4 linked regions of the Pelodiscus sinensis genome follow. The protein of the gene in region 1 purifies or fractionates together with the protein of each later gene. This does not show direct contact. Links are inferred from orthologs where the notes say so. Each region holds a gene or a part of one and is shown in the gene's direction. Other genes may lie near its edges. The genes, in order: RUVBL2, RPAP2, MRGBP and ACTL6A.

Region 1 (7,997 bases):
TTCTCCCCAGCTCTGGGGGAGCAGTGATGACTAGTGGCTACAGCGGGGGGCTGGGAGCCAGGACGCCTGGGTTCTGTGACTGGTCATCAAGCATCGAGGGCAGGGCTGGGCCGGGCTCAGGGGCACTGGGTCAGTCGGGGACTCAGGGTAACCCCCCCCCCCCCCACGCACCTCGCCCAGGAACCAGGCGGTGAGGAAGCCGAAGAGCACGGCGTCGTTGGCCTCCCGGTCGTACCAGGGCACCCCGATGGTGCAGCTGTCCCACAGCTCCGTCTTCCAGCGGTCCAGGCTCCACGCTGTGGCCCCCACGTCCAGCAGCACCACGTAGGGGCCCCCCTCGATGAGCCAGCGCCCGAAGTACACCTGGGGGGGCCGGGGTGAGACGGAGCTCCCAGCCCCCTCCGGGACCCCGACCACAAGACCCCAAACCCGCTTCCCCAGGGGCCCCCGGACATGCACCAAGCCCCTGCCCCGCACACTCCCAGCTGGGACCCCATCTGTCCCCTTGGGGAAGTCCCCCCAAGAACAGCGTTGGGGCCTGGATGCTGTTAGCCCATTCCTGCCCCCTCACGTAGCCCTCCCCCCATCCGCTCCAGCCCCAGCCCCAGCCCCAGCCCCAGCGCCCCCCCCCCCCCCCCCGCCAGGTTAGAGGGAACTTCAGGGCAGATATTTTGAGCACCAGAGAAAAACAACACGTGGGGGGGGGTGACCTTTGCTGGGGAGCAACGTGAGCCTGGCTGCTAAAGATAGCCCCCTCGGGGCACCGGGCCAAGGGGAGGGGGCTTGGCATCCCCATGGTGCCTGCTGGGGAGGGAGGGGGGGAGAAACGAGCTGCCCCCAAAACACCGGGGACTGTTCTAATAGGGGACAGGATTTCTGGGTGCACAGCGGGATCAGGGCTCCGGGAGCGGGGCCTAGTGGTTAGAGCAAGAGGCTGGGAGCCAGGGCACCGGGGTTCACTCCCCGGCTCAGGAGGGCAGGTGGAAGAATCATTCAGATCAAGAAGAGGGGGACCCGGATGCAGAGGTGGGTGGGGGCTCCCCTTGGATCAGGAGGAGCAACAGGGTCACTTTAGGCCCCTCCCCCTCAGGGCAAGGAGGCCCCTCCCCCGGTTGGTGCGCTAAGCGTGCAAGGCCTCCCCTTGCACGGACGGGCTGGCGCCCCGCACTCGTGGGCCCCGTCCCTCCCCTCGCAGGGGCTGGCATCCTGGGACCCCCTCCGTGCCCCCTCCCCCTCTGCAGCTCGCACCTTGCAGCCCTTGGCGTTCATGGAGTCGATGGTGCGCCGCACGGCGGGGTGGGGGGGCTCGATGAGCTCCACCTGGGTGCGCACGTTCTGCTCCAGGTAGGGCCCCATCAGGAAGTAATTCTCCCCCCACTCGTCCGCCGTGATCTTGGCCTTGGTCTGCAGCACCGTGTAGATACCCCCCACTGCGGGGGGGAGGGGTTAGACACAGCCTCTGGCACCCCCATGGACCCTCGCCTCTTTGCCTGGCCCCCCCCCTCGCCGGACCTCCACCCCACTGCCCAGGGGGCGGGGACCCCCTCGATACAGACCCCGCCCCCTCGAGGCACCGGCCTAGGCAGACCACAGCCCCAGTGCATCGTGGGGCCCCCAGCTGCAGGGCCCCTCCCTGACTCCCTTGCCCCACACCCCAGCAGGGCTTTCAGCCTCCCCAGGTCCCAAAACCGGCAACCCCTCTCCCCCCCGCCACTGTCAAACCTTCCCGGTCTGTACCCCTAGCCCGGCTCCCCCTCGCTCCTAGCCTGCCCCTACCCCCCACTGCACAATGCCCCCCCAGCTCAGACCGGCTCCACTCAGCCCCCCAACGTCAGGACTTGGGCCTCTGTGTAGGGTGGGGGCTGAGGATACGGGGACCCCTCGCCCGGGAGGCCCCGTAGAGCAGGCCCAAAAGAGTTTAGGACAGGACACCCCACAGATACCGCCCCCTGGCGCTGCACGGGGGCCAGCAATATACTGCCTTCTGTTGATCCCCTGGTCCGCCCCCCCAGACCAGCACCCCTCGTGCCCCACTGAAGGAGGGGGGCTAGGAAGGGGGCAGTCTGTCAGGACATAGCACCTCCCACTGATCCCTACCCCATCCCTTCAGCCCGGCATCCCCCAACTAGCAGTGATGGCCCTAAGGCCCCGGTGCCGGCAGGGGGGCCGAGCTGGGACGGGCCCATCTCTGCCCCGTGCCCACAGCAGGGGCACTGAGTCAGACCCCCGTTGCCCTGCCCCCTGCTCGTCCCCCCAGGCTTAATGCTCCTGCCTCCACCCCAGAGGGCACGTACCCCATAGGTCACTACGCTCTGCCCCCAGCAGCTCACAACCCGACCTCCCAGGCTCCCAGCCTGACTGCCGCTGGGCCCCACCCCCCCTACTGGAGCTAGGGCAGAACCCAGGAGTCCTGGCTCCCAGCCCCGCCCGCCTCTAACCACTAGCCCTTACTCCCTTCCCAGAGCCAGGGCAGAACCCAGGAGTCCTGGCTCCCAGCCCCTCCCGCCTCTAACCACTTGCCCTTACTCCCTTCCCAGAGCCAGGGCAGAACCCAGGAGTCCTGGCTCCCAGCCCCTCCCGCCTCTAACCACTAGCCCTTACTCCCTTCCCAGAGCCAGGGCAGAACCCAGGAGTCCTGGCTCCCAGCCCCGCCCGCCTCTAACCACTAGCCCTTACTCCCTTCCCAGAGCCAGGGCAGAACCCAGGAGTCCTGGCTCCCAGCCCCGCCCGCCAGAGCCAGGGCTGATGTTGACCCCGGAGAGAATTCAGGCATCTAGCTCACCCTTGTTGGCCACCTCCCAGGCCACCTCGAAGAGGATGGCGTTCTCCAGGTCAATCTCATCCTCCCAGTCCTCCAGCCCCGTCAGGGAGGTGACGGAGAGGCTGCGAGCCAGGGGCATTGCGGCTGAGGCTGGGGGGCAGCGCTGCAGGAGCCAGGTCCGGGTGCTGGGCTGGGGGGACAGACAGGGGGTCACAGCCTTGCTACTCTGCAGCACAGGCTCACAGGAGGGGAGTCCAGGCCTGGGACACCCCCACCTACCAGACCCACAGGAAAGAGGGGGCAGAGCCGTGGCTGGTTGGGGGCTGGGAGACGGCAGTAAGGAGCCCATAAGGGGGCTGGAATAGGGGAGGTAAAAGGGGAAGGGGGCTGGACGGCCCATGGAGGATTGGAGGGAGAATGGGGCTGGGAGGGACATGGGGAGTTGGATGCAGAAGAAGGGACTGGGAGACATGCAATGTAGGGGGCTGGGAGGAACATCCGGGCCTGGGGAAGATATGGGGCAGGACATGGGGTGGGGGGAGGGGCTGGCAGGGACATGGGGGCACGGTGCAGGTAAGGGGACTGGGGAGTGCATGGGGGGCTGGATTCAAGTGAGGGGACTCGAGAGTACATGAGGGGCTGGATGCAGGTAAGGGGGGTGGGGGGACATGGGGGGCTGGATGCAGGGGAGGGAGGGCTGGGGGGATATGGGGGCCGGATGCAGGGGAGGGGGAGGGGGAGTCTGGAGGGAGATGAGGGATTGGATGCAGGGGAGGGCCTAGGGGAATTAGATGCAGGGGAGGGGGGCTGGAGGGAGATGGGGGGCTGGATGCAGGGGAGGAGGGTCGAGGGAGATGAGGGGCTGGGGGGGAGATGGGGGCTGGATGCAGGGGAGGAGGGTTGAGGGAGATGAGGGGCTGGGGGGGAGATGGGGGGCTGGATGCAGGGGGGGCTGGATGAGATGGGGGCTGGATGCAGGGGGGGTTGGAGGGAGATGGGGGGCTGGATGAGATGGGGGCTGGATGCCGGGGGGCTGGAGGGAGATGGGGGGCTGGATGCAGGGGGGCTGGAGGGAGATGGGGGGCTGGATGCAGGGGGGCTGGATGAGATGGGGGCTGGATGCAGGGGGGGTTGGAGGGAGATGGGGTCTGGAGGGAGATGGGGGGCTGGATGCAGGGGGGCTGGATGAGATGGGGGCTGGATGCAGGGGGGGTTGGAGGGAGATGGGGGGCTGGATGAGATGGGGGCTGGATGCAGGGGGGCTGGAGGGAGATGGGGGGCTGGATGCAGGGGGGCTGGAGGGAGATGGGGGGCTGGATGCAGGGGGGCTGGATGAGATGGGGGCTGGATGCAGGGGGGCTGGAGGGAGATGGGGGGCTGGATGCAGGGGGGCTGGATGAGATGGGGGCTGGATGCAGGGGGGGTTGGAGGAAGATGGGGTCTGGAGGGAGATGGGGGGCTGGATGCAGGGGGGGCTGGAGGGAGATGGGGGGCTGGATGCAGGGGGGGCTGGATGAGATGGGGGCTGGATGCAGGAGAGGGGGTCTGGGGGAGATGGGGGGCTGGATGCAGGGGGGGTTGGAGGGAGATGGGGGGCTGGATGAGATGGGGGCTGGATGCAGGAGAGGGGGTCTGGGGGAGATGGGGGCTGGATGCAGGGGGGCTGGATGAGATGGGGGCTGGATGCAGGGGGGCTGGAGGGAGATGGGGGGCTGGATGCAGGGGGGGCTGGATGCAGAGGGGGGGCCTGGGTGGAGAGGGGGCGGGGGGAACATGCGGGGCTCGCGGAGTCCCCCCCCCCAACTCACCTCCCCCCAGCGCCTCCAGCCACTTCGCAGCGCTGCTCTCAGACTGACCCCGCCCCTCCCCCGCCGGGCTCTGCTGCACCGGAGCCCCGCCCACCAGGGGCGTGGCCTGCGCGCCGCCCCGCCCCATGCGCGCCGCCTGATTCTGAGTGGAGCCCGCAGGCGCCCGAGGGCTCTGATTGGCTAACGTGGCCGGTGCCCGGCGGGGGAGGGACACGTGGGGGAGGGGACGGTACGTGCTTCAAGGTCTTAAAGGGGAAGTGTCACCAATTCCTAGGGAGGGGCGCGGGGCGGGAGGAAGTGGCGGGCGGGGCGGGGCGGGGCGGAGTGAGGAAGGGGCCGCCAGGCAGGGCAGGGAGAGGGGCGGGGCCAGAGTCGGGGGGCGGGGCCAGGGAGGGGGCGGGGCTGGAGGACCGCGGGCCATCGAGCGGCGGCGGGAGCGGCTCCCTCCGCTCAGCGCGTGGCGGCGACGGGCCACTTCCGGTTTCCGGTCCGCGCCGGCGGCTCGCTGCGGTCTCCGAGCAACATGGCAACGGCGGTGAGCGCGGCCGCCCCGCCCCCCCGGGCCCCCCCGGGCCCCCCCCGCGCGCTCCCCCCCCCCGCCCTCCCTGACCGGTCTCTGTCTCTCCGCAGAGCACGAAGGTGCCCGAGGTTCGCGACGTGACGCGCATCGAGCGCATCGGTGAGTCCCCCCCGGGCCCGGCTCGGTCTCCATGGCAACGGGGCGCCCCTCGTGCGGGGCGAGGAGCGGGGCAGCAGCGGGGGGCGGGGCGAGGGGCGGGGCAGCAGCGGGGGGCGGGGCGAGGGGCGCGCGGGGCGGGGCAGCAGCGGGGGGCGGGGCGAGGGGCGCGGGGGGCGGGGCAGCAGCGGGGGGCGGGGCGAGGGGTGGGGCAGCAGCGGGGGGCGGGGCGCGGGGGGCGGGGCAGCAGCGGGGGGCGGGGCGAGGGGCGCGCGGGGCGGGGCAGCAGCGGGGGGGCGGGGCGAGGGGCGCGCGGGGCGGGGCAGCAGCGGGGGGGCGGGGCGAGGGGCGCGCGGGGCGGGGCAGCAGCTGACGGTGCCTCCCCTCTGTCCCCAGGCGCCCACTCCCACATCCGCGGGCTGGGCCTGGACGATGCGCTGGAGCCCAGACAGGTACCGGGGGGGGGGGGCTGAGTGGGGGGCGGGCGCCTTGGGGGGGTGGAGCTGGGCAGGTCTGGCAGGAAGGGGGGGTCCCCTATGGGGGGAGGCTGCACGTGACTGGGGTAGAAGGGCGGGTCTGTGGGTGTGGGGCGGGGGGGCGGGGGGGGGGCTGGCCGGACCCCCCCTTGCCAGCACCCACCCTGTCTCTCCCCAGGTCTCGCAGGGCATGGTGGGCCAGCTGGCTGCCCGGCGCGCCGCAGGCGTCATCCTGGAGATGATCAAGGAAGGGAAGATCGCCGGCCGGGCCGTCCTCATCGCTGGCCAACCGGGCACCGGCAAGACGGCCATCGCCATGGGTACCGCGCTCAGGGCACTGGAGTCCCTCCTTGCCGGCTCCCCCCCCATCCAGGAATCCCCATCACACGCACCCACCCCTTCCTTAGAGTCCCTGCCCCATCCGAGGAATGCTCTCACGGGGTGTCTGCCCCGCACCCAGGGAATCCGCCCCCTCTCCCTGCCTGGGAATCCCTCCCACCCTGGCACTCTGCTGTAGATGGCTGGACCCTTCGAGGGAGTTGCCCTGCCCTGAGTGGTGGCTCAGGAGCAGGGATCCTCGGCTTGCCTCTCCCCCCGTGTAACTAGGTCCCCCCTGCCCCCCAGGCATGGCGCAGGCACTGGGGCTGGACACGCCCTTCACGGCCATCGCGGGCAGCGAGATCTTCTCCCTGGAGATGAGCAAGACTGAGGCGCTGACCCAGGCCTTTCGGCGCTCCATCGGCGTGCGCATCAAGTGAGGGGCGGGCCTGGACCCCAGGGTTCTGGCTCAGCACTGGTGGGGGGGGCTGGGGGGTAACAGCAGGGGCTTGGGAGCCTGGGCTGTGGGGTTCTCGTGCTGGCTCTGGGAGGGGGGTGGGTAGAGCAGCAGGGCTGGGAGCCAGGCGGGTGCCATAGTGGGCACAGAGCTGCCTGCCCATGGGGGGCGATTGGGGAAGCTGTTCCTGTGTCCCAGGGAGCCACTGGCAAGATGTGGGGGGAGGACTGAGCTTGGCCCTCTCCTTCGCCACAGGGAGGAGACCGAGATCATTGAGGGGGAGGTGGTGGAGATCCAGATCGACCGCCCAGCCACCGGCACCGTGAGTAGGGCGGGGGCAGGGTGGTGGGGCTGGCTGGCTGGGGACAAGACAACTGGCTTGGCTGGCACTGCCATGCTCCTGCCCCCATCTTGTGCCCCTCAGAACAGGTCCCCTCCCATTCCCTGCCCCCCCCCCGAACACGCCCCTCCCTCTCACCGGTCCCTCACTTGTGATGTCCACGTGCAGAGTGAATGTTACGTGTGCGAGCAGGTGGCGACTGGCCCATCCCCTCCATCATGGCGCACGTCACGTTCATTCTGGGCGTGGACAGTCTGGCCGGGCTGGGGCCAAAGGGTTCGGCGGGTGGGAGCAGGCTCTGGCTGGGGGTGTGGGATCCGTGGTGGGGCTGGGGCTGAGGGGTTTTGGGTACAGGCTCTGCCAGGCCTTTCTCACTGCCGCAGCTCCGGGCCAGGTGCGGGGCGTGTGTCTGCCCACCGTGGCAGCTCTAAGGCCCTGAGCCCCTGCACCGGGGGGTTAGAAGGCTGCCCCGTGGCCACACAGCTTAGGGTGAACTTAGCCCCCATTCCCTGCCTCCCCTCTGCAGGAACTGGCCTCTTCCCCCCCCCCCTCCCCCCAGAATGGGAACCTCCCATTCTCTACTCCAGCCCCCAGCAAGCCTGCCCATGGCCGGTGGGCCAGTGCCCATCCCCCCACTTGCTCTCTGCCAGGGACAGTGGGGGAGGGGGGTCTGACCACACACCCTACCCCCGTACGCAGGGCGCCAAGGTGGGGAAGCTGACGCTGAAGACCACGGAGATGGAAACGATCTACGACCTGGGCAGCAAGATGATCGAGTCGCTGACCAAGGAGAAAGTGCAGGCGGGGTGAGTGGGGGGCTGACGGGTAGGGAGGGGGCCCTGTGGGAGTTGTGGCTCCACTGGAGGCGTCCATACAATGGCCCAGTGTTCTCACCGGCCTGGGCTGTGACCACCCCTCCCCCCCAAAGCTGACCACACCTCTCCCTGCAGGGACGTCATCACCATTGACAAAGCCACCGGCAAGATCAGCAAGCTGGGGCGCTCCTTCACCCGGGCGCGCGACTATGACGCTATGGGCGCCCAGGTACGTGCTGGGCTCTGAGCCCCCCACCCATTGGGAAATGCAGGGGGGGGGGCAGTGGGAGACTGAGGGGGACGGGATCTGAGTTGTCCCTTCCCCCAGACCAAGTTTGTGCAGTGT
Region 2 (7,265 bases), on another chromosome or scaffold:
AAGTGCTGGGGGTCGCAACTCAGGCCATGGTAAGGCAGGGCTTCCTGTAAAAATTCTGAACAAAAAATTTTAAATTCTGAAAAATTAATATTTTAATTTATTTTGTAATATATTACCAAAATAATTAAACATGGTGTAATTATGTTGTTATTGTATTTCTGCATTATTTTGATAAATAAAATATGCAGAACTTAGAAGAATTTTTTGAAAATATATTCTGGGTGGTGCAATCGGGGTGCAGACAACTTGATGCAGGGCTCTGGGTGAAGAGAGAATGGGACACTGCAAGGAAGTCCAGGTGAAGGTAGTTAGGGATCAGTGAGAGTCTGGGGGTACAGGGTTTGATAAGGTTGAGAGGGTCAGGGTGTAGCTGGTTGGAGCTCAATGAGGTCCAAGTGTGAGGGGCTGCTCATGCAGGGGATGGAAATCAGCAGGGTGGAAGTTGGGGGGTCTTGGTAGAGAGGTTCTGGGTGCAAGGCAGGGGTTCAATTAGGGGTTCCAGGCGCATGGATGGGAAGACTGATCACTGAACAGGAAGCTGCTCCCCCGTCTATCCAACCCCATGCATCCAGATCTCTCCCCCAAACACACACACTCAAAACCCGCACTGAGCCTTACCACCCCACACCTAGAATTCCCACTCAGACAGGCCCCTTCCCACCAGCAGTGCAGAGCTACCTGCAGCTTAGAGTAGTTTCTGGGGTTGATTTGACACAGACCCAACTGGTCTGGGCAGGGGAAACTCTGTCTTCATCCTCTTTCTTCCCTCCCAGCCCACCCAGCTGAGACAAACATCCCTGGGAAGCCAGGGCATCCCCAGGCACCCCTTTCCCCAGAGATTTACCTCTCCCCAGCTGCTCAAACAGATATGTCTGTGCACACAAATTTAGGCAATGCCAGTTTCTCTAACAGTTAGTATATTTTTACAGAAAGGAAGTTACTTACACATCGTTGTATAACGGCTTGAAGCTCCTCAGTTGCCATTGTATCCTGATTTTGTTCTTCTGACATTGAAAAGCTCTATCATAATTTAGAGTATAGTAATGAGTCACAACTATATTATATTCAATATTATACTGGATTTAAAATGGAGATTAAAAAATTATCACATTTTAGCAAGTCCCAAGTGGTAAAACATCTTACAGAAATTAAGGAGGCTGCATAAAAGAACATGAGACAAAACAGAAGAGAAAAGAGTTAAAAAATGCAGGGTATTTTTTCATTCCATCTCCTGTGCAGGCACTGCTATTGCTTGTTTATAGGAGACAGGAAAGAGCATGAAAACTATATCTAAAGAGGGGAACTGTCCAACTACAGTAAACTTCTGATAATCTGGGAAGCCCGGGGCAGAGCAGCTGGGGTGCTCTTCCCCGGAGTCAGCCGCTGGTCAGTTTCAGCAGCGGCTGACTTGGAGAAGTCTGGGGCAGAGCAGCTGGGGTGCTGCCGGGATGGTCCGGCAGCACCAAGGAGCAGCGCTACGGGACCAACCCAGCACCCCAGCTGCTCTGCCCCGAGCGTCCCCAAGTACTGAAACATCCAAATCTGAATTGAGATAACTAAAAGAATGTGAAAACTAATTTTCTTTTTATTATACTGAAATCCTACTTACATTTTATTTCACTGTTTTCCACACTTGACAGTGAATCCACACTTGACAGTTTCACTTTGCTGTTCTCATTGCATTAGCACAGGGATGGGCAATAATTTTTGCCAAGGGGTCACAATGGCAATGGCACAATGGTTGGGTATTGGTAACCAGAGCTCATAGCTCCAGCCCCTGAAGAAGAGCCACAACTGGGCACTATTTAAATAGGATCCTGCTGTCCGAGCCACCACCTGAAAATTCGGTGGCATGGACAGCAAGATATAAATAGAAAACTGTCAGACACTGTCTGTGGGCCAGATCAAAGTTTTAGCAGGGCAGAGTCTGCCCCAGGTGGCATCTTGCCCATCCCTGCACTAAGATGTACTTTTGAGTTTGAGTTAGCACCACTGCAAGAGCAATGGCGACATTCCCCCAGAATCAGTGTTCCCTCTAAGCTGCGAGGCAGCACAGTTTCACAGGTGAATAGTCAGCCCTGCCCAGTGAATCAGCTCCACATGGAGCCCTGAGCTTTTGACTGGGCGGGGCTGATTAATCACCAGTTAAGATATGAGGCTGCACAGTTTAGAAGAAACACTGCCCAGAACTACTTTAATTTGTTTGAAAACAAATGTACAGTGTTACCTATTTGGGGCCCAAAGTAACTTGGTATCATCAATAAGGCTCAAATCATATACTGAGCTCCGTAGTGTACTGGTTCTGAGCTCATTGCACGTATGTGGCCCACATGATTAAGTCAGTGATATATTTCCCTGACTTCAGTGGGAACTGTACCGGTCCTTAAGTCATTATGAAAGAAAATTATATATTAGCTATAATTGGCAAACACCATTCATTAAGAATGTTTTTTTCCACCCATTTTGATTTCTTCTTATAGGATCTGAACACCAATGAAGAATGCATCAAAGGGAGAATGTATTCTAAATGCATGGAAGCACCTAGCATCCTCCATACACTTTTGTCAAACACTTGCCATTAGCCATACTTGGGTGAAAACAGGCTGTAGGGGTGGGTAGAGCCCTGGGTGGATATAAAATCTGTATCTGCATCTCTATCAGCACAAATAAACCTGTGACTATAAAGCAGACATCCACAGATTTACAAGGCTCTATGTATGCCCTGAGGCTACGTCTACACTACGTTTTTTGTGCAAAAACCAGCAGTGTCCACACCTCAAGCACGTTTTTACACAAGAAAATCTACAGTCAATTGACAGAACAGATGACTTTTTGCGGTGCAGATATACCTCCTAAGAGGAATATCTCCTTTTTGCGCAAAAAGGCATGTGTGGATATTCCGCAGGGGTTTCTTGCACAAAAAGAGCCAATCCGAAAAAGCACAGGTGTTCTGATGGCCATTCTGTGAATGGCCATCAGTGCTTTCTTGCGCAAGAGTGTCCATGCCGTGTAGATGCTCTCTTGCCCAAAAGCTCATTGCAAAAGCAGTGCATTTTGAGGTGTGGACGCGCTCTTGCGCAAGTTTTTGCACGGGAACTCTTCCTCAAAAAACTTCTTGTGCAAAAACCCTGGGCTGTGTCTACACTGCACCCCTTTTCCAGAAAAGGGATGCAGATGAGACAAGTCGGAATTGCAAATGAAGCGGGGGATTTAAATATCCCTCGCTTCGTTTGTATAAACATGGCTGCCGCTTTTTTCCGGCTCTGGGCTTTGCCGGAGAAAAGCACCAGTCTAGATGGGATCTTTCGGAACATAAAGCCTTTTCCGAAAGGTCCCTTATTCCTCTTAAAATCAGGAATAAGGGACCTTTCAGAAAAGGCTTTATTTTCCAAAAGATCCAGTCTAGACTGGCGCTTTTCTCCAGCAAAGCCCGGAGCCGGAAAAAAGCTGCAGCCATGTTTATACAAACTAAGCGGGGCATATTTAAATCCCCCACTTCATTTGCAATTCCGACTTGTCTCATCTGCATCCCTTTTCCGGAAAAGGGGTGCAGTGTAGACACAGCCCTGCAGTATAGACCTAGTCTTTCAAGGGTGTATAAGGGCTGAGGATAGCAAGTGATAGAGAGAACAGAGAGGGCAGGGCTTCAAGGGGGGAGGGTGTCTTGGGGAAGGGATGGGGTAGATCTTGGCTTGTCCTGGCATTTAAAAAGTGATCTTGGGCGTAAAAAGGTTGGAAACCACTGATGTCTGGGATCCTCCCAGTCGAGGGTTAGCACAGTCGATGGGATTAGTACTGATGCGCTGAGTCACGTCGGAGGCTGCTCTACACCCCGGGGCCTACAGAACACACCTCCTGTCTCTCAAAGCAAACCAATAAGCAGGTCGCGGAGAGGCTGTAGCGGCTTCGCACGGAAGGAGGGGAGAAGAAGAGGGAGACCGGGCGCGTGGCTCACAGCAAAGCCCGCAGCCTGAGGCTGTAAATACGGCTGCTGCGAGCTCCACGCCTCCAACAAGGGGGGCTGGTCTCAGCCGGCGCCCGGGACCTTGTCTGAGGAGCCCCGCGTGGGGCGCAGCGGGCCAGCCTCGTTACCCCGCCCCCAAGAGAACGCGCCGGGGGAGGACTATCCCCGTCGCAGCCGCCCCACAAGGGGGCTCAGAGCCTCCCTCCTTGGACGCGGGGGCGAGGACTGCGCGGCGCCCGCCTCCTACCTAGCGTGCGTCCGCACAGGGCCGCTCCGGATCGAGCCCCGCGTGCCCCTCTCAGGCTCCGCCTCCCCCCCCCTCGCGCCGCGGCGGGTGAGAGGTCAGGCGGGGGGCGGGGCGGGCGGCGATGGCGGCGGAACTTCGGCGCGTCGGTGCGAAGGCGAGAGGCAGCCGGAGACGCGCGGGTAGGATCAGTACAATCCCCCTCCCCCCCCCCCCGAACATACCCCCCGTTTCCCGGCCTAGTGGGCTCGTCCTCCCCACCCCAACGCAGGGGACTGACCCAATCGTCCCAGCCGGGGAGGGGGACGGGAGTAGTGCTGGGCAGGTAGCCGTGTTGTGCGCCCCTCCGCCCCCCGTTTGGAGCATTGCTGGGGTACCCGGAGGGGGAAGCAGAGCCGGCACCATGCGTAAGCGGAATGAGCAGCGGGCCCATTCCTAGGCCGGGGTATTCCAGCTTAGGGCAGGGCGCTGGTGTGCAAGACGGGGTTCAGCTGCAAGCTTGGGAGGGGGCTCTGGGCTGGGACAGTGTTGGGGTGCTGGCTCTGAGAGGGGTCAGGGTGTTGTAGGTGCTGGCTCTGGGAGCGGGCTCAGAGCTGGGGCGGATTCAGGGTACAGGAGGCGTATGGGTTCTGGCTCTGGGAGAGGGGGCAGGGCTGGAGCCAGGTGCTTGGGGTACAGGAGATGGTTGGAGGGTGCAGGAGGAGAGATGGGGTGCTGGCCCTGGGAGGGAGCTCAGGGCTGAGGCTTGGAGTGCAGGAGGTGTTTGGGATCTGAGGCACTTGGAAGAGAGGAAAGTGATTAGGAATAGTCATCAAGGGTTCACAAAGGGCAAGTCGTACCTGACCAATCTGATCAGCTTCTATGATGAGGTAACTGGCTCGGTGGACATGGGAAAGTCAGTGGATGTGATATTCCTTGACTTTAGCAAGGCTTTTGATACGGTCGCCCACAATATTCTTGCCAGCAAGTTAAGAGAATGTGGATTGGACAAATGGACAGTAAGATGCATAGAAAGATGGCTAGAAGGCCGGGCCCAGCGGGTAGTGATCAACGGCTAGATGTCAGGATGGCAGTCGGTTTCTAGCGGAGTGGCCCAAAGTTCAGTTCTAGGACCGATTTTGTTCAATATCTTTATTAATGACCTGGATGAAGGGATGGATTGCACCCTCAGCAAGTTTGTGGATGACACTAAGCTAGGGGGAGAGGTAGATACGCTTGAGGGCAGAGATAGGGTCCAGAGTTACTTAGACAAATTGAAGGATTGGGCCACAAGAAATCTGATGAGGTTCAACAAGGACAAGTGCAGAGTCCTGCACTTGGGACGGAAGAATCCCAAGCATAGTTACAAGCTGGGGACCAGCCCGTTAAGTAGTAGTTCTGCAGAAAAGGACCTGGGGGTTACAGTGGATGAGAAGCTAGATATGAGTCAACAGTGTGCCCTTGTAGCCAAGAAGGCTATTGGCATATTAGATTGCATTAAGAGGAACATTGCCAGCAGATCCAGAGATGTCATTATTCCCCTTTATTCGGCTTTGGTGAGGCCACATCTGGAGTATTGTGTCCAGTTCTGGGGCCACCACACTACAAAAAGGATGTGGACGCACTGGAGAGGGTCCAGCGGAGGGCAACCAAAATGATTAGGGGGCTGGAGCATATGACTTAAGAGGAGAGGCTGAGGGAGTTGGATCTGTTTAGTCTGCAGAAGCGAAGAGTGAGGGGGGATTTGATAGCAGCCTTCAACTTCCTGAAGGGAGGTTCCAAAGAGGATGGAGAGAGGCTGTTCTCAGTAGTGACAGATGGCAGAACAAGGAGCAATGGTCTCAAGTTGTGGTGGGAGAAGTCCAGGTTGGATATTAGGAAAAACTATTTCACTAGGAGGGTAGTGAAGCCCTGGAATGGGTTACCTAGGGAAGTAGTGGAGTCTCCATCCCTAGAGGTGTTTAAGTCTCGGCTTGACAAAGCCCTGGCTGGGTTGATTTAGTTGGAATTGGTCCTTCCTAGAGCAGGGGGCTGGACTTGATGACCTTCTGAGGTCTCTTCCAGCTCTATGGTTCTGTGATTCAGGAGATATGGGATGCTGTCTCTGGAAGGAGGGTCAGGTTGGGGCAGAGGATTTGGGATGTGCAGGAAGAGTTTGGGGGTTGGCATGTGGCCTGCCACCAGGCAGCACTTGTCATTGTCCCAAGCAGCAGCACAGTGAGGCTAAGGCAGGCTCCCTGCTTGTCCTGGGTCCACAGCACTCCTGGGAGGGGTCAAAGTGCCCCTGTCGCCCAGAGGTGGGGGCCAATGTTCACACTAATTTTTTCTGTGTGTGAAATAAATGTTATGATGTACCCTGAGGAATGTGAGTTTGTGAACCACCAGTAGAAACATGCTACCATCTGTGGGCACTCTGCTAATCAGTGGAGCAGCATTTGAATCTCCTGGGCAACTGCCCAAGCACTCAGATTACAGGGAACACTTTTGGGGGTGGGTAGCACGTGGCTCTGTGTGCTGTCCCTCTGCTAATGCAATAGTTCCCTTTTTCTGGCCAGTTGAAGCAGTGCATGCAGGCGGCAGGAGTAGCATGCTGAGACTCTTGCCTCCCTATCCCTCCTCACACACAGGACCATGCTTGCCAGTTTTGGGAACAGGCTGGTGACGGGGTAAACAGGAAGCTTGCTGATCGTAATTAATTGGGAGACTCCCCAGGATTCACCAGTTGATTGCAATCGATCGGTTGGTGACCACCACTACACAGATTTCCAGGGAGAGCCCAGCCTTTCTCAATCTGAGGGTTGTGATCCAAAAATGGATGGATGGGTGGGGGGCAAAGTAATTGACTGGGGGATTTTGGTATTGCCACCCTTTACTTCACTGCTGCCTTCAGAGTTGAGTGGCTGGAGAGCTGTGGCTGCTGGTCGGACACCCATCCCCGAAGGCAGTGCCCCACCAGCAGTAGCACAGAATAGGGTACCCCTACTCCTGTGCTGCACCCTTCTGATCTGGGCAGCCAGAAAATGGTGGCTGCTGACCAAGGGCCTAGCTCTGAATGCAACAGTGCAAACCATGCCAAGA
Region 3 (7,363 bases), on another chromosome or scaffold:
AGACTGAAATGAGAACGTGGGTTCAGGGGTTCAAATCCAAAACCCAGTATTCAAAAGAGTTTAGATTTGAGATTCTGGTTTTGACCCATCTCTAAACATTTTATTTAACCATTTAACCTCTTTTAGGTATGTATAGAACATCAGTCGCCACTGTAAGAAGGGTTAGTTGGGTTGGATAAGTCTTGACAAGAAGACAGCGAACATGTAAAGAAACTGAACCTTTCTAATATGGAATACTTTCAATGAGAAACTCGTAAGTTTTTTCCTTCCTAGTTTTTGTTACTAGGGTAATTTACTAGGGCCTCTGTGCTTGTGAATTTCTGTTCCTGCTGTTTACTATTCATGTGAAATAGTAATCCTGTGTTTGTGACCAAAGTTATTTGCTGTGAACATTATTTTAATGCCACAGAGAGGATTAAGATTTTAAGAGAGAAATAAGCAGCAGGAATACATGATCACTAAGCAACAGAGAGACTGTTTCATGCATGTATGCTTAATAATAAAAAGGAAAAAAGGCAACACAGAAGGGATAATATATTATCACATTTTTTTCTGAATGGAATGTTTTGGGTAACAACTGTCTCAGGAGGCAACAGTGACCTCCCTTTTCAAAGTTCTCAGGAGCTTAGCAGTTCCTTCATTTTAAGCAGAGTGGTCTAGTTAGGACAGTATTGGCTTGAGGCTCTAGAGAACTGGACTCTATTCCCACCTTTGCCACTGACCTGCATTGCGATCTTGAACAAGTCACTTCCCTTTTCTGTTTCACCTTCCATCCTTCATCTGTCTTGCCTAGCTAGAATGTATGCTCTTTAGTGATGGGACTGTCTCTTACTAAGTATGTGCATAGCACCTAGCACCAATACCTTCAACTGGGACCTCTCTGTTCTATAGCAATACAAATAACATAAATATCTTGCCCCTTTCCAAAACATCTGATAGATATAATAGGGATGAACTCTTCAGGGTTCTTTAGAAATGTAGGCTTCTATAGAAACTACAGGCAGTCCCCGAGTTACGCGGATCCGACTTATGTCGGATCCGCAGTTATGAACAGGGTTTGCTCCTGGTCTGCTGGAGACCAGCAGACCAGGGAGACGGGGAGCAAAGCCTCGGAGGACGCCGGCAGCGGGACAACCGCGGCGCGTCTGGGCTGTCCGCTGCCCGTGTGCGCCGTGGCTTTGCTCCCCGTCTCCCTGGTCTGCTGGAGACCAGCAGACCAGGGAGATGGGGAGCAAAGCCTCTGAGGACGCCGGCAGCGGGACAGCCGCGGCGCGTCTGGGCTGTCCCGCTGCCCCTGTGCTCCGCGGCTTTGCTCCGGACGCCTATGGTACAGCAGCTGGGGCGCTGCTGGTTGGTCCCGTAGCTCCGCTCTGGGCACTACTGGACCAACCCGGCAGCACCCCAGCTGCTCTGCCCCAGGTGTCCCCAAGTCAGCCGCTGCTGAAACTGACCAGCGCTGACTACAGGAAGTCCAAGGCAGAGTTGCTCTGCTCCGGGCTTCCTGGAATCAGCCACTGATCAGTTTCAGCAGCAGCTGACTTGGGGACGCCTGGGGTTCTTAAGTTGAATCTGTATGTAAGAACTGGCGTCCAGATTCATTCTGTTGAAACTGATCAGCGGCTGATTCCAGGAAGCCCGGGGCAGAGCAACTCTGCCTCGGGCTTCCAGTAGTCAGCCACTGGTCAGTTTCAGCAGTGGCTGAATCTGGATGCCAGTTCCGACTTACATACAGATTCAACTTAAGAACAAACCTACAGTCCCTATCTTGTACATAACCCGGGGACTGCCTGTACTTGAAAAAATTGCAGAATTTAATAGGTTCTCATTCTCTATCGATAGATGTCCTTGTACCAACCTATTGAAGACAGAGAATTTTGTACAATAAAATCTTTAGGATGGTTCAGAAAAGCTATAGGAAACTTATTTTGTATTAAATCCATTAGCACGCTACGTGGGCTTAGAGGTAAACTATTAATTATCCCCAGCTTACAGATTTGCAAAGAGACAGACTGAGGCCTGCTCTGCACTTAAAATTAGATGGACCTTGCTACATTGCTCATGGCATGGCTGTGAATTTTTTTTTCCTGTGCACCTAGTATTCAGTATTTTCTCTTTTCCTCAGATGGATGGCTGGTGGCATCTGGGAGGGCGGGGGAAGGGAAGAGCACAGTAATTTAAAGGCGCAGAGGCCTTTTTTTTTTTCCGCAAAAAGATGGCTGGTGGCATCTGCTAGGGGAGAGGAACACGGTAATTTAAAAGCGCAGTGACCTTTTTTTTTTTTTTTTTGCTCAACCAATTCTTCCCTGCCTGTTCAGGATTTTTTGTGTAGGTATCTGGCAATCCTAGCAGCCACCAGGGGATGCCAAGGCTGAGGGGTGGCCACTGGGAACTAGTTGACTAGTCCCTCAACTTGTTGCTTCCTTCCCCCCCCCCACATCCCATCAGAGGCAGCAAAGGAGGGGGAGCGGGAGCTGGTGCTGGGATGAGTCAGCTTAAAAGCCAATTCCCCACAGCATCGTCTCTGCAGGGGGCAAGGGAGGCAGCGGGTTTGCCGGGACTGGGCACGAGCCAGGAATGAGCTTATTCCTGGCTTGCACCCAGTCCCAGATGCTGCGCCTCTGCTTTTTAAATGTATTAAGAGCCTGCCAGTTCTTTATACATTTAAAAATCAGAAGTGAAGCGGGAAGACCTGGAGCGAGCTGAGACAGCTGATTCCCTGCTCACACTTGGTCTCCCCACTGTGCTCCAGCCTTTTTACATTTAAGGTTGGTGCACAGTGGGGAGGGACCTAACACGAGCTGGGAATCAGCTGACTTGGGTCACACTGGGTCCCCCAGCTCTGCTTCAGCCTTTTAAATGTATAAAGAAGAGCCAATAGGCTCTTAATACATTTAAATGGCAGAGCCACAGTGCAGTTAGTTCCCGAAGCCAGGAGCTATCCCCACTGCAGCTCCCCAGCTTATTGACTAATCGACTAGTTGATTACATGAAATTTAACATCCCTATTGGGAACCCACAATAGGGATCAGGGTAGCTGCCAGAGTGTACCGGGGCTAAGGGGCAGATGTACAGGTGCTGGGCACCTACTGCAGGGATCAGGGTGGCTGCCAGGGGGCGTCAGGGCTGAGGGGTAGGGAGCAGCCACTGGACCCCACTACAGCAGTGGTTCTCAACTCGTTTCAGTCCACGGACCACCAGGCCAATCAAAAAATTTTCCTCCTTTTTGAGACATGATAAAAAAGAGCAGACAACGAACAGTTTGGTTTGAAATTTATTTCTTACTAACAGATTTTTGGTGCCTGCCCACACCTTGTGATTTTCGACAATGTTCCTGTGGCCCACCGAAAAAGGCACCATGGACCACCAGTTGAGAACCACAGCACTACAGGGACAAGGCCAGGGTGGATGTGCAGGCACTAGGCACCTACTGCAGGAATTTTGGGGTGGCCGCCACGAGGTGCTAAGGCGAAGAGGAAGCCGCTTGAGCCCCCACTACAGGACTCGCGGCGGCCGCCAGGGGGTGCCAATGGTGAGGGGCAGCCACTGAGCCCCCGCTGCAGGGCTCGGGGCGGCCGCCAGGACTGAGGGGGCAGGGAGCAGCCGCTTGAGCCCCCACTGCTTGGTTCGGGGCGGCCGCCAGGGGGCGCCAATGGTGGGGGGGGCAGCCCCTGAGCCCCCGCTGCAGTGTTCGGGGCGGCCGCCAGGGGGCGCCAATGGTGGGGGGCAGCCCCTGAGCCCCTGGCTGCAGGGCTCGGGGCAGCCGCCAGGGGGCGCCAATGGTGGGGGGGCAGCCCCTGAGCCCCCGCTGCAGGGCTCGGGGCGACCGCCAGGGGGCGCCAATGGTGGGGGGGCAGCCCCTGAGCCCCTGGCTGCAGGGCTCGGGGCGGCCGCCAGGGGGCGCCAATGATTCGGGGCAGCTCCTGAGCCCCCGCTGCAGGGCTCGGGGCGGCCGCCAAGGGGCGCCAATGGTGGGGGGGCAGCCCCTGAGCCCCTGGCTGCAGGGCTCGGGGCGGCCGCCAGGGGGCGCCAATGATTCGGGGCAGCTCCTGAGCCCCCGCTGCAGGGCTCGGGGCGGCCGCCAGGGGGCGCCAATCGTGGGGGGGCAGCCCCTGAGCCCCCGCTGCAGGGCTCGGGGCGACCGCCAAGGGGCGCCAATGGTGGGGGGGCAGCCCCTGAGCCCCTGGCTGCAGGGCTCGGGGCGGCCGCCAGGGGGCGCCAATGATTCGGGGCAGCTCCTGAGCCCCCGCTGCAGGGCTCGGGGCGGCCGCCAGGGGGCGCCAATGGTGGGGGGGGCAGCCCCTGAGCCCCCGCTGCAGGGCTCGGGGCGGCCGCCAGGGGGCGCGGCGGCGCTGCACAGAGCGGCGGCGCGGGGCGATGGGCGAGGCGGAGGGCGGCTCGGCCGGCGGCGGCGGCGGCGGCGCGGTGGCGGAGAAGCCCCCCGTGCCCGCGGCGGCCCCGGAGCCCGGCGCGCCGGCCGAGGAGGCGGTGGTGTGGAGCCCCGAGGTGGAGGTCTGCCTCTTCCACGCCATGCTGGGCCACAAGCCCGTCGGTGAGAGCAGGCCGCGGCCGAGCCCCGGCCTCGAGTAGCGGCGCCTGCCGGGAGGAGACCCGGGAGTGGGCGGGCCGCCCCGAGTGGCTCCCGCGGGCAGCGTCGGGGTGGGGGAGGTGCCGCTCATACCCCCCCCCCCCCCGAATCCGAGCCCCTCCCCCCCTCCCCGCAGCCAGGACTCCAGCCCCCGGGGGCCCTGCCGCTCCAGGAGCTGGGGCCAGTGGCTGCGGGGCCGGGCGGCTTTTCCTGCCTGTGGTCGCTGCCCCCACCGCCCCCCAGGGCCGGATTCCCGGGGGGGGGGGGGGGGCAGGTTCCATTATGTTTTCTTATTGGCCGGACCTGCCCCCGCGGGTAGGGATTTTTAGTTGCAAAAATAGGGGTCGGGCAGGAATTTTGAATATTGGGGAAATGTAGCGAGGCAGGGGCCCACTGCTGGGCTTTTCTTTCCCTTGCTCTGCCTGGCTAGGAGGGAGTGCGAGGAAGTGTGGGGGGAAAGGGTGTGGGGTCTTCTCCCCTTCTGCTGTTGGCAGGACATCTCTTGGGGCATGTTAGGTGCAAGTGAAACAATCCACAAGCAGGCTTGTTGACTTTTTGTTGCTCCCTCTCCCCTTTCAGAATTACTTGGTTGCAGCTTTCAGGATTCATTGCCTCTGGCTTAGCTGTGTCTGTGCCCTAAAAATGGGAGAAGACCCTGTGGTCCCAGCCAAGATTTTAATTATTAGATCTGCACAGAATCTGGTGCAGTCACTTAACTCAGGGTACGTCTAGACTACAGAGTTTTGTCGACAGATACTGTCGACAAAGCTTCTGTCGACAAAGAGCGTCTACACGACATTCAGTTCTGTCGACAAAGCAAACTGCTTGGTCGACATGGCAGTGTAGACGCAAGGACAGTTTACATTCAATAACGCCTTCTGTCGACAGAACTCTGTCGACAGAAGGCGTTATGCCTCGTAAAATGAGGTTTACCAGCGTGGACAAAACTGCTGAGTTCTGTCGACGTTATGTCGACAGAACTCAGCGGTAGTGTAGACGCAGGTATAGTTTTGTCGACAAAAGTCCACTTTTGTCGACAAAACTCTGTAGTCTAGACACACCCTTACTCAGTGAGGTGATGCACATGCCTCTCAGGAAATGTCGCTGATGGCTCTAACTTCCTTCCTTCAGGTGTGAATCGCCACTTTCACATGATTTGTATCCGAGACAAATTCAGTCAGAATATTGGACGACAGATTTCCTCCAGAGTGATTTGGGACCATTTGAGTACCATGTATGACATGCAAGCACTAGTGAGTATAGAAAACTGGCATTAAGGAATTCTGATTTCCAGTAGATGTCAACAGCTTTGATGTCATATGTGTTGGGCCTAATTCTTACATTGGTGTAAATTAGGTGACTTTTGTGAGGTCAGTGGACTTTCACCTGTGTAAAACTAGTATAGGAGAGAGGAAAATCAAGTCCCGTATTTCTTCCCTCTTATGCACTTGCTTTGATGTAAAATTTCTCTGTAGGCCCTGATCCAGTAAATACTTTGAATGCTTAACTTTATATGTGCAAATAGTCCTACTGACACACACAAAGTTCAAGCATTTTCAAGAAGTGGACAGTCACCCTCATATTCTGTATCTTGTCCTCTGGTAACCCTTATGGGACTTCTGATGACAGACTGAGATATCCTATTACGAATTATTTGGCCTTTTCCTGTACAGGTTGAACCTCTGTTAATCGGGACTCTCTGGACCATGGATGTTCCAGGACCAGAGAGTCCCGGTGGAAGGCTGGTGGCTGGGATCCCCACAGCTGGGCTGCTTGGTACAACCCAGCGGGACTGCCTGGTGTGTCCAGGAGCCCGGCGCGCTGCAGTGTGGCTGCAAGAAGCTTCCAGGAGCCTGGCACACTTCAGTGGGACTCCCCGGCACATCCAGGAATCTGGTGTGCTGCAGTGGGGCTTCCCGGGCATGTCCTGGAGTCTGGTGTGCAGGGAGCTGGGCTGCCTGGCTTAGCAGGGAATAGGGAGGGGGAGGGCTAGCAGTGCAACAAGGCTGGTGGGAAAGGAGGGCAGCTGGTCCAGGGCTGGGGGAGGAGGGGCCTGATAACGGGGGACAAATATGACATCCCCTAGTCTGGCAAAATCCCTCATCCGGGACCAGTCAGGTCCCAAGGGTGCCGGAACGGAGGTCCAACCTGTATATGAAATTACTTGGCATTTGTTTAGGAAATCTGAGCTGATAGTTATAATAAAATCACACTAAAGACATTTTACTTTTTTTCTTAAGCATGAATCTGAGATTCTGCCCTTCCCTAATTCAGAGAAAAATTTCATCCTGCCTGAGGAAATTATCCAAGAAGTGAAAGAAGGTGAGATCTGATGCTAGCTTTTATGTTGCAATGCTCTGATCAAGTTCTAGGCATGATTAGGCAACTTGAACTCCAGAAGAAGGGAAGAAGTAATGATGTACTAGGCTGACGCTGGTGTGTCACATCATTGGATTGTGTAATAATCAGGGAGAGGTAAAATAGTAAAAAGTTTAATGTAGATGGGATTTTTGATAACACATTCTATCAAAATCTCCCTTTGGCAGAGTATGCGCGTCTTCCACTTACTGAGGTGGGGAGGGTGGGGAAGGGTGCTATGTGCAGCAGGGAGGTCAAAATCCGGTCCTTGGGAATTATATGCAAGTAGTTAAAGGTTTATTCTTTTGGGGGTTAGGTGATTTGAATGTTTTAGTAAGACTGTGTTACTGATTAAGTTTCATAAGGCAATTGTTACAAGAGTTTTATTTACACTGAATAGCTGCAGTTCTATTGCAGGTG
Region 4 (6,832 bases), on another chromosome or scaffold:
GTTAGTACTAAGTAGTTTATGATAATTAAGTTTCATGCCACTCTGGGTAAGTCTGTACAGGAAAAAACATCAGTGGCTGGCCTAGGTCAACTGACCTTGGCTGTAGGGGTCAAAATCACTATGTAGATGTTGGGGCTCAGATTCCCAGGGATTAGGCTCCAGCTCGAACATTCATGCAACAATTTTTCATCTCATAACCTGAGCCCCACAAGCACAAGACAGCTGACCTGGGCCAGCCACAGCTGTGCTATAGATCTTCTATGTTTGTGCACATGTACCCTCTAATGCAGTAGTGGGCAACCTGCGGCCTGTGATCTACACATGGTCAATCAGCATTATTCACTGGCAGCACACGAGACATTTTGTTGATTTGACCCTTTGCAGGCACAGTCCCTCGAAGCTCCCAATGGCCACAGTTTGTCATTCCTGGCCAATGGTACCTGCAAGAAGCAGTGGCCAGCATGTCCCTGCATCCCGCAGCTCCCATTGGCCAGGAACAGCAAACCATGGCCACACGGGGTTGGGGAGCCTGTGCATGCAGATAGTCAACACTGGTGTAGCCCAAGGTCCAGTGTGCTTCAGGAGCAGCCCTTGGAACTAAAAGCTGTAGACTATAAACTATGACATGTTGGAGAACTTCCTGGTTCCTGCCATGATGTACCCTCTGCCTCCCAGCAGGGCCTCAGCACTGACTGAGCTGGCAACACGTAAGCTGCAAGCAGAGAAGAGGCTGCTGTACTGTAATCCTGTTCTTCGTACTTTACAGAATTAAGCCTGTTCCTGGTGGTTTGTCTGAGTGGGTCTGGTCTGAAGAGCACACACACTGACACGTGATGGAGAATGCACAAAGGAGCCTCAGGCCTAGTCTCCCAGAGTTGTGTAAAAAGTCACACAGCTTCCCCTATGTTGAATAACCTCATACTGGGATAGCGGACAGGAGGGGCTACATCAGCAACATGTCTCGCAGCCCCTAGTGGAGTATTCTGATGTGCCAGGTACAGCCCACAGGCCACATATTGCCCACCACAGCTCTAATGTTTTCCTCAGGGCAAAAGGTCAAGAGACGCATATTAAAACATTTAAAAAGTTATATTTCTACATAAATAAACTATGTTTTATTTATACAGTGCAAGAAATATAAAAAAGCACTTTACAGGGAAATATAAAGAGAATGGACTAAGTCCTGCTCTCAGTTACACTGGTGTAATTTTTAAATAACTCTACAAACAAAGTGAAGTTACTCTGAATTTACCCTAGTATAAATGAGATCTGAACAAGGTCCAAGATCCTTGCCTCAAGGCACTTACAATCTAGAATCAGGCAGAAAATATAATCAAATGGCAGTGTACTTTGAAAAGGTGGGGTTAGCAAAAGAAGAGCTAACAGCATCCTTTGAGGCTCAGTTTCCTCTACAAAATGAAGCTTACAGTTTTCTTGGATCTCTTACTTTCATACTATTGTTTCTAAATGTATGAATGAATTAAATATCACTCAATGAAGGATAGCCAAGGAAGTGATTTTAAAGGAGAGATTTAAATATGAGACATATCACCCTCACATACTTTTCCACCAAAATCAGAACTTCCACCAAAATCAATAAGAACAGTGCACACGTATGTGAAAAGAGTATTCAGCCTTATGTATTTTACATATGATCTGTGGTTAGCCAGTATCTGATCTTTGTATTAGGATGCAAAAATTAGCTATGTGCTCTATGTAACTTTGAAAAATGGCATTAATTATTCTACAAAGGCCCTAATCAACCAGTTTAAGATTTCTCAATGGTCAATATTATGCAAATCATGGGATTGGACACTTGGAATTTTAGGCAGATCTACCTATCTAGTTCTCTGGCTCCTGAACTCTCCAAGTCCCTTTTCCTTTTCATCAATTTCCTGTTTTCCCTCCTCCACCCCATTCCACTTCCCTGCTCACTACTTAGTCCTTCCTAACTTTGTTTTCTAGCTCTCTGTGCTGTGTTCTATGGCTTTACTGGCCAAATGCCAGGGCAGATACTAACATCTCCCACCCCTTCTTTCTCTGCCAGAACAATCCAGTGAGGATGGCAGTTTAGTAACAAGCAGGGGAAAGGAGGGAATCAGATGAGCTCAGCCCAATATCCAGATTTTGAGGCAGGAAGTTTGAGATGCCAAGGGACCATCACTGGGTTGGGAGGATATAGGGGGTGGTGGGAAGGTACAAAATTGACAGGGGCTTATACAGATTTTATTCCATTGGAAAAGGAGAACAGGGAGCAACAGAAGAAAGAAGACTCAGGAAGGGAGGTAAACTGGATTGGGAGGGGTACTTGAGAAAGGGATATTGATGGTAGAGTAGCAAGCACTGAACTCTGTAAAATGTCATGCATGTTTTATTAGAGTGACAAGGTGGGTTTTATTAAGCCAGCTGGAGATGATGAAAGACTTTTTTCAAGTCTACACAGAACTAATTTCCAGGCCTAGGAAAGGTACTCAGAAGTTTGATTCAAGTGAGCTGCTTAGGCAAAGTTTGTAACTTGCTAAAGTTAGACTTTAATCACTAGCACATTATTTTGTTTTGTTTGTATCTGTAACATACTAGTCTCTCTTTTCCTAGTTACTATCACTTACATCTCTTCTTAATCTCTCTTTTTCATAGTTACTATCACTTACATCTCTGTGCTGTTACAGGCATATATCTTCAGCTGCATTAACAGGCTGGTATGCATTCTGTCTCTTTGGAGAAAGCAAATTTAGTAATTTCTGTGAATAGAGAATGGACACTACAGAAAAACAGCTTGGGGGAACTTGAGAACTGGTTTTCAAGGTTACCTGCAAGATAAAGGAAAGGTAAGCAGTGTTACTGGTGACACCTGGTGTGGCAAAGACCTAACTCATGTCCTTTGAACTCCAGTGACGTTCTTTTGCTGAGGCAGAGAGGTAACTCAGCAGCTTACTGTTCAGGGTATCCCAAGAGCATCCCAACACTGCAAAAACACTTTCTTTTTTGCATTTTTCCCCTCGGGCCTTTTGTTACCCTGATGAAGATCAGGTTTGGCCAGTTCTCAACCCCTTACTTAAGGCAATCCCAAAATACCTTTTTCTAGGCTCCCTGCACCATCCTGCCCCAAAATACCCCACCTAACTTCCCACCCTAAAATGCCTCTCCCTAACTAGTGATAGAAATGTAGCCGTGTTAGTCTAGTGTAGCTGAAACAAAAAACAGGACTATGTAGCACTTTAAAGACTAACAAGATTGTTTAATTTGTCCTTTTCATATGTGTTCATTTTTTTAATTGTATCCTTTGGTATATATGGTTGTGACAATTTTCTTCCACTATTTGATCTGAGGAAGTGGGTCTGGCCCATGAAAGCTCATCACCTAATAAACCATCTTGTTAGTCTTTAAAGTGCTGCATAGGCCTGTTTTTTGTCTCCCTAACTACAGTCTCAAAGCATCCCTTGCTGGCCCACAAGCCCCAGCCTCCCCCCAAGTCTCTCCCTAACCCCCAACAGCAGCCAACCCCATAGCACCCTAACCAGCCCCCCAAGTTCCTTCCTAACCCCCAGCCAGCCCCATAACACCCTTCCCCGGCCCCCAAACATCCCTCCCTAGACCCAGCCTCCACACCCTCAGCCCCACCTACCCCCATGTCAATCAATTCCTTGCCCCGTCCCCCAACCCCAACCTCCGCTGACCCTGCACACTGCAACCATACTTGCTTCCTTCACTCTTTTTCTTGACAGGGATAGGTTTCCCGCTGTCTCGGCCCGCCCCCTGCTGGCCACGATTGGCCGCCCGCTCTCGGGGTTGCGGGGGCCGGCCGGCGCGCTCTGTTGGTCTGAGGGGAAAGCAGCAGCAAGTTCGGTTGAGCCGGCGGGGCGAGTGAGCGCGGGCCGGAGACTCGCGCTCGCTATTGTCAGCGAAAGTAGTTAGCGGGGGCTGCCGGGAGCGGGGCGCGAGACAGGCCCGGCGGCAGCCATGAGCGGCGGGGTGTACGGGGGAGGTGAGTGCCCGCCCCCCCCGCCTGTGAACCCCCCCCAGCCCCTGCCTGCTGCCCCCCACGACCGTTCCCCACGGGCCTCTCTGCCCCCCCCCCCCCCAGCGCCTGCCTGCTGCCCCCCAGCACCTCCGAGCCCCTGCTGCCCCTCACGGGCCTCCCCCAGCCCCCGCCTCGCCCAGGGCTGTTCCACACGAGGCTTCCCCTAGCTGCCCCCCCTCCTCCTCCGAGCCCCCACAGGCCTGCTGCATCTCCCACCCCCTCCCCCTACAGGCATGTGCTCTAGTCTGTCCATTATTTGTGCGTGTGCTGATGCCGCTTCCCCCTACCCAGGAGCTTCCCATGCAGCCCCGCGTAATCCGGCCACGTTCCCAAGCCTTGAGCTTCCTTGCAATCGATTTGCTGCCGCTCCCTGCGCTTCTTCCCCTCCCCAGTTATTTGCTGCTCTTCTGGTCCATAAAGTGACAGCGTTGCTAAGATACAGCTGTAATGCTCCACCCATGAACACCACCAGCATCGTTCTTCCCATCAAAGCTAACAACTCCACTCAGCTGCGGTCGGAAACACACAGTGCTTCCCTTCAGTATACCTTGCAAGTTTTCATTAAAGTGGAAGGTCTAACTAGTTTGAAGGTCGTCTTAGTTTCTAGAATAGTGATAGAAATGTAGCCGTGTTAGTCTGGTGTAGCTGAAACAAAATACAGGACTTTGTAGCACTTTAAAGACTAACAAGATGGTTTATTAGATGATGATTAGACCACGAAAGCTCATCATCTAATAAACCATCTTGTTAGTCTTTAAAGTGCTACATAGTCCACAAACATCCCGCTCTCCCTACCTCTAATATCATCAATTCACAGACACTTACCTTCCTTCCTCCCCCCCCCCCCCCGCATCCCCCTCCTGTTCTGCAATGTGATTTGTCCTTTTCATATTTGTTCATTTTTTTAATTGTATCCTTTGGTATATATGGTTGTGACTACTTTCTTCCACTATTTGATCTGAGGAAGTGGGTCTGGCCCATGAAAGCTCATCATCTAATAAACCATCTTGTTAGTCTTTAAAGTGCTACATTGTCCTGCATTTTGCTTCAACTACATAGTCCTGTATTTTCTTAGTTTCTGTCTTTGGTAAATTTCATTGTGGCCTTTTCCGTTTGTTAGATCTGTAAGGCAGATTAATGGTGTAAGGCAACATTTGGTGCTGTTACTTTGGTGGGAAATTCAGGTTAGCACGCCATCGAAAGATATATTTGGAAGCCAAGATCTTGCACCAGAGCATCTCCTGTAAACAGTGCTACCAAAATAATAATAATAATTAGTATTATTAATAATTTTGCTAGGGTCCTGACCCCGTTGAGCCCATATGGAGTCTCTTTACAGATCAGTACTTAAGGGAATGGATGTATTTCTTAAACATCTGTGTTATAGACTGTCACATCTAATTCTAATTATTTTCCTGTTTAATTTCTAATAATCCAGGGAAGTGTAGGGGGAAGTATAACTTTGTGAGTAAATCATAACACATTCTGAAAATCACTTTACCAGTTATGGTTAACTGGTGGACTGGTGCAGTCCCCTGCCTGCTTAACAGGGATTTTGCATCCCTAATTTTGAATGAAAGTACTGTTTTATTGGTTATTTACTTAAAATACAATGGCTTTTTTGGGGTAATTTTTCTGCAATTAATATTTTCAATTGAAAATATTTTGTTCTTTGCCAGCTTTAAATCCTGGTTAAAAGTTGCGATGGTGGTTTGCACTCACGTTTAACAAAAAGTGTGTTGGCTTGTATGTTTTTGCTGATAAGCACAGAGATTTTATTGCCTGCCTATTTACTTCTAATCCTTACAGATGAAGTTGGGGCTCTTGTTTTCGATATTGGTTCCTATACAGTGAGAGCTGGCTATGCTGGTGAGGATTGTCCAAAGGTAAGAGTCATTGTGATTAAATGGTTTTTTTACGTATTCTACGAACCACTGAACAAGTTTTGAATTTGTAGACATTTTTTTTAAATGTATAGCTGAAATGAAAACAGTACTTTGTTATAAGTGAATAAACAAATGCCCACTCTGCAGTTGCCATACCTGGTCCATATTTTACATTGCAGGTTGACTTTCCCACTGCTATTGGTGTGGTACTGGAAAGGGATGATGGCAGCACCTTGATGGAAATAGATGGTGACAAAGGAAAACAAGGAGGTCCTACTTACTATATAGACACCAATGCACTGCGAGTTCCAAGGGAAAACATGGAGGCTATTTCACCCTTAAAAAATGGAATGAGTATGGTGCTCTGTCTTTTTCTTCTTGTTCTTAAAATCTGATCACTAACTTTATATTCAGCTGCAAAGTTTTATCTGTCACGGGCAAAAAAATATATTCAATTTTCATTAATACTCTTGGTCCAAAAATGAAATGTTGTATTTAAAATGGTTTTAATTATGAGGTCTGATCTGAGGAAGAACTATAGAGACTTTCCTCCATGTAATGAGCTGGAATGGGTCCCACCTGATAACGGTGGTGGGGGAAAAAGAAGGGGACGAATGTAATTGGTAAGCAGCATAGAACTTTATGGAGCTGCTGAAGTGTGTGAATTTTTAAGACTGTTGTTCAGGAGATGGTTGATCTATGTGTTTTAAAGTTATGTTTTTAGATGACTCAATTAACTATGTCTCTTTTTGAAAATGGAATAATATTGTCTAAACGTCATTGTTACAGTTGAGGACTGGGACAGTTTCCAGGCAATTTTGGATCACACATACAAGATGCACATTAAATCTGAAGCAAGTTTGCACCCGGTCCTAATGTCAGAAGCACCAGTGAGTAAAAGCATATTTCCTTCTTTGAAATTTTA

What was found.
Region 2: the proteins of RUVBL2 (region 1) and RPAP2 purify together in Homo sapiens (affinity purification with mass spectrometry; 3 studies listed by BioGRID and IntAct, with this or other methods). This does not show direct contact. The link is inferred for Pelodiscus sinensis from reciprocal best matches to the Homo sapiens genes RUVBL2 and RPAP2.
Region 3: the proteins of RUVBL2 (region 1) and MRGBP purify together in Homo sapiens (co-immunoprecipitation; 5 studies listed by BioGRID and IntAct, counting the BioPlex papers as one, with this or other methods). This does not show direct contact. The link is inferred for Pelodiscus sinensis from reciprocal best matches to the Homo sapiens genes RUVBL2 and MRGBP.
Region 4: the proteins of RUVBL2 (region 1) and ACTL6A purify together in Homo sapiens (affinity purification with mass spectrometry; 11 studies listed by BioGRID and IntAct, with this or other methods). This does not show direct contact. The link is inferred for Pelodiscus sinensis from reciprocal best matches to the Homo sapiens genes RUVBL2 and ACTL6A.

What each region holds. Positions count from the first base shown.
Region 1 is NW_027465870.1:27,101-35,097, forward strand, and holds the start of RUVBL2 (ruvB-like 2), read left to right. Parts: upstream 1-4,995; 5' UTR 4,996-5,092; coding exon 5,093-5,104; intron 5,105-5,199; coding exon 5,200-5,248; intron 5,249-5,641; coding exon 5,642-5,697; intron 5,698-5,899; coding exon 5,900-6,041; intron 6,042-6,345; coding exon 6,346-6,475; intron 6,476-6,751; coding exon 6,752-6,818; intron 6,819-7,535; coding exon 7,536-7,642; intron 7,643-7,786; coding exon 7,787-7,880; intron 7,881-7,979; coding exon 7,980-7,997. UniProt on the Homo sapiens protein: Possesses single-stranded DNA-stimulated ATPase and ATP-dependent DNA helicase (5' to 3') activity; hexamerization is thought to be critical for ATP hydrolysis and adjacent subunits in the ring-like structure contribute to the ATPase activity.
Region 2 is NC_134719.1:34,345,750-34,353,014, forward strand, and holds the start of RPAP2 (putative RNA polymerase II subunit B1 CTD phosphatase RPAP2), read left to right. Parts: upstream 1-4,248; 5' UTR 4,249-4,332; coding exon 4,333-4,390; intron 4,391-4,417; exon of another isoform or gene 4,418-4,611; coding exon of another isoform or gene 4,612-4,615; intron 4,616-7,265. Other genes in the region: GLMN (glomulin), read right to left, coding at 946-1,011.
Region 3 is NC_134728.1:7,675,589-7,682,951, reverse strand, and holds the start of MRGBP (MRG/MORF4L-binding protein), read left to right. Parts: upstream 1-4,359; 5' UTR 4,360-4,374; coding exon 4,375-4,549; intron 4,550-5,716; coding exon 5,717-5,838; intron 5,839-6,825; coding exon 6,826-6,907; intron 6,908-7,363.
Region 4 is NC_134720.1:44,787,371-44,794,202, forward strand, and holds the start of ACTL6A (actin-like protein 6A), read left to right. Parts: upstream 1-3,826; 5' UTR 3,827-3,960; coding exon 3,961-3,985; intron 3,986-4,308; exon of another isoform or gene 4,309-4,404; intron 4,405-5,830; coding exon 5,831-5,907; intron 5,908-6,086; coding exon 6,087-6,261; intron 6,262-6,696; coding exon 6,697-6,797; intron 6,798-6,832.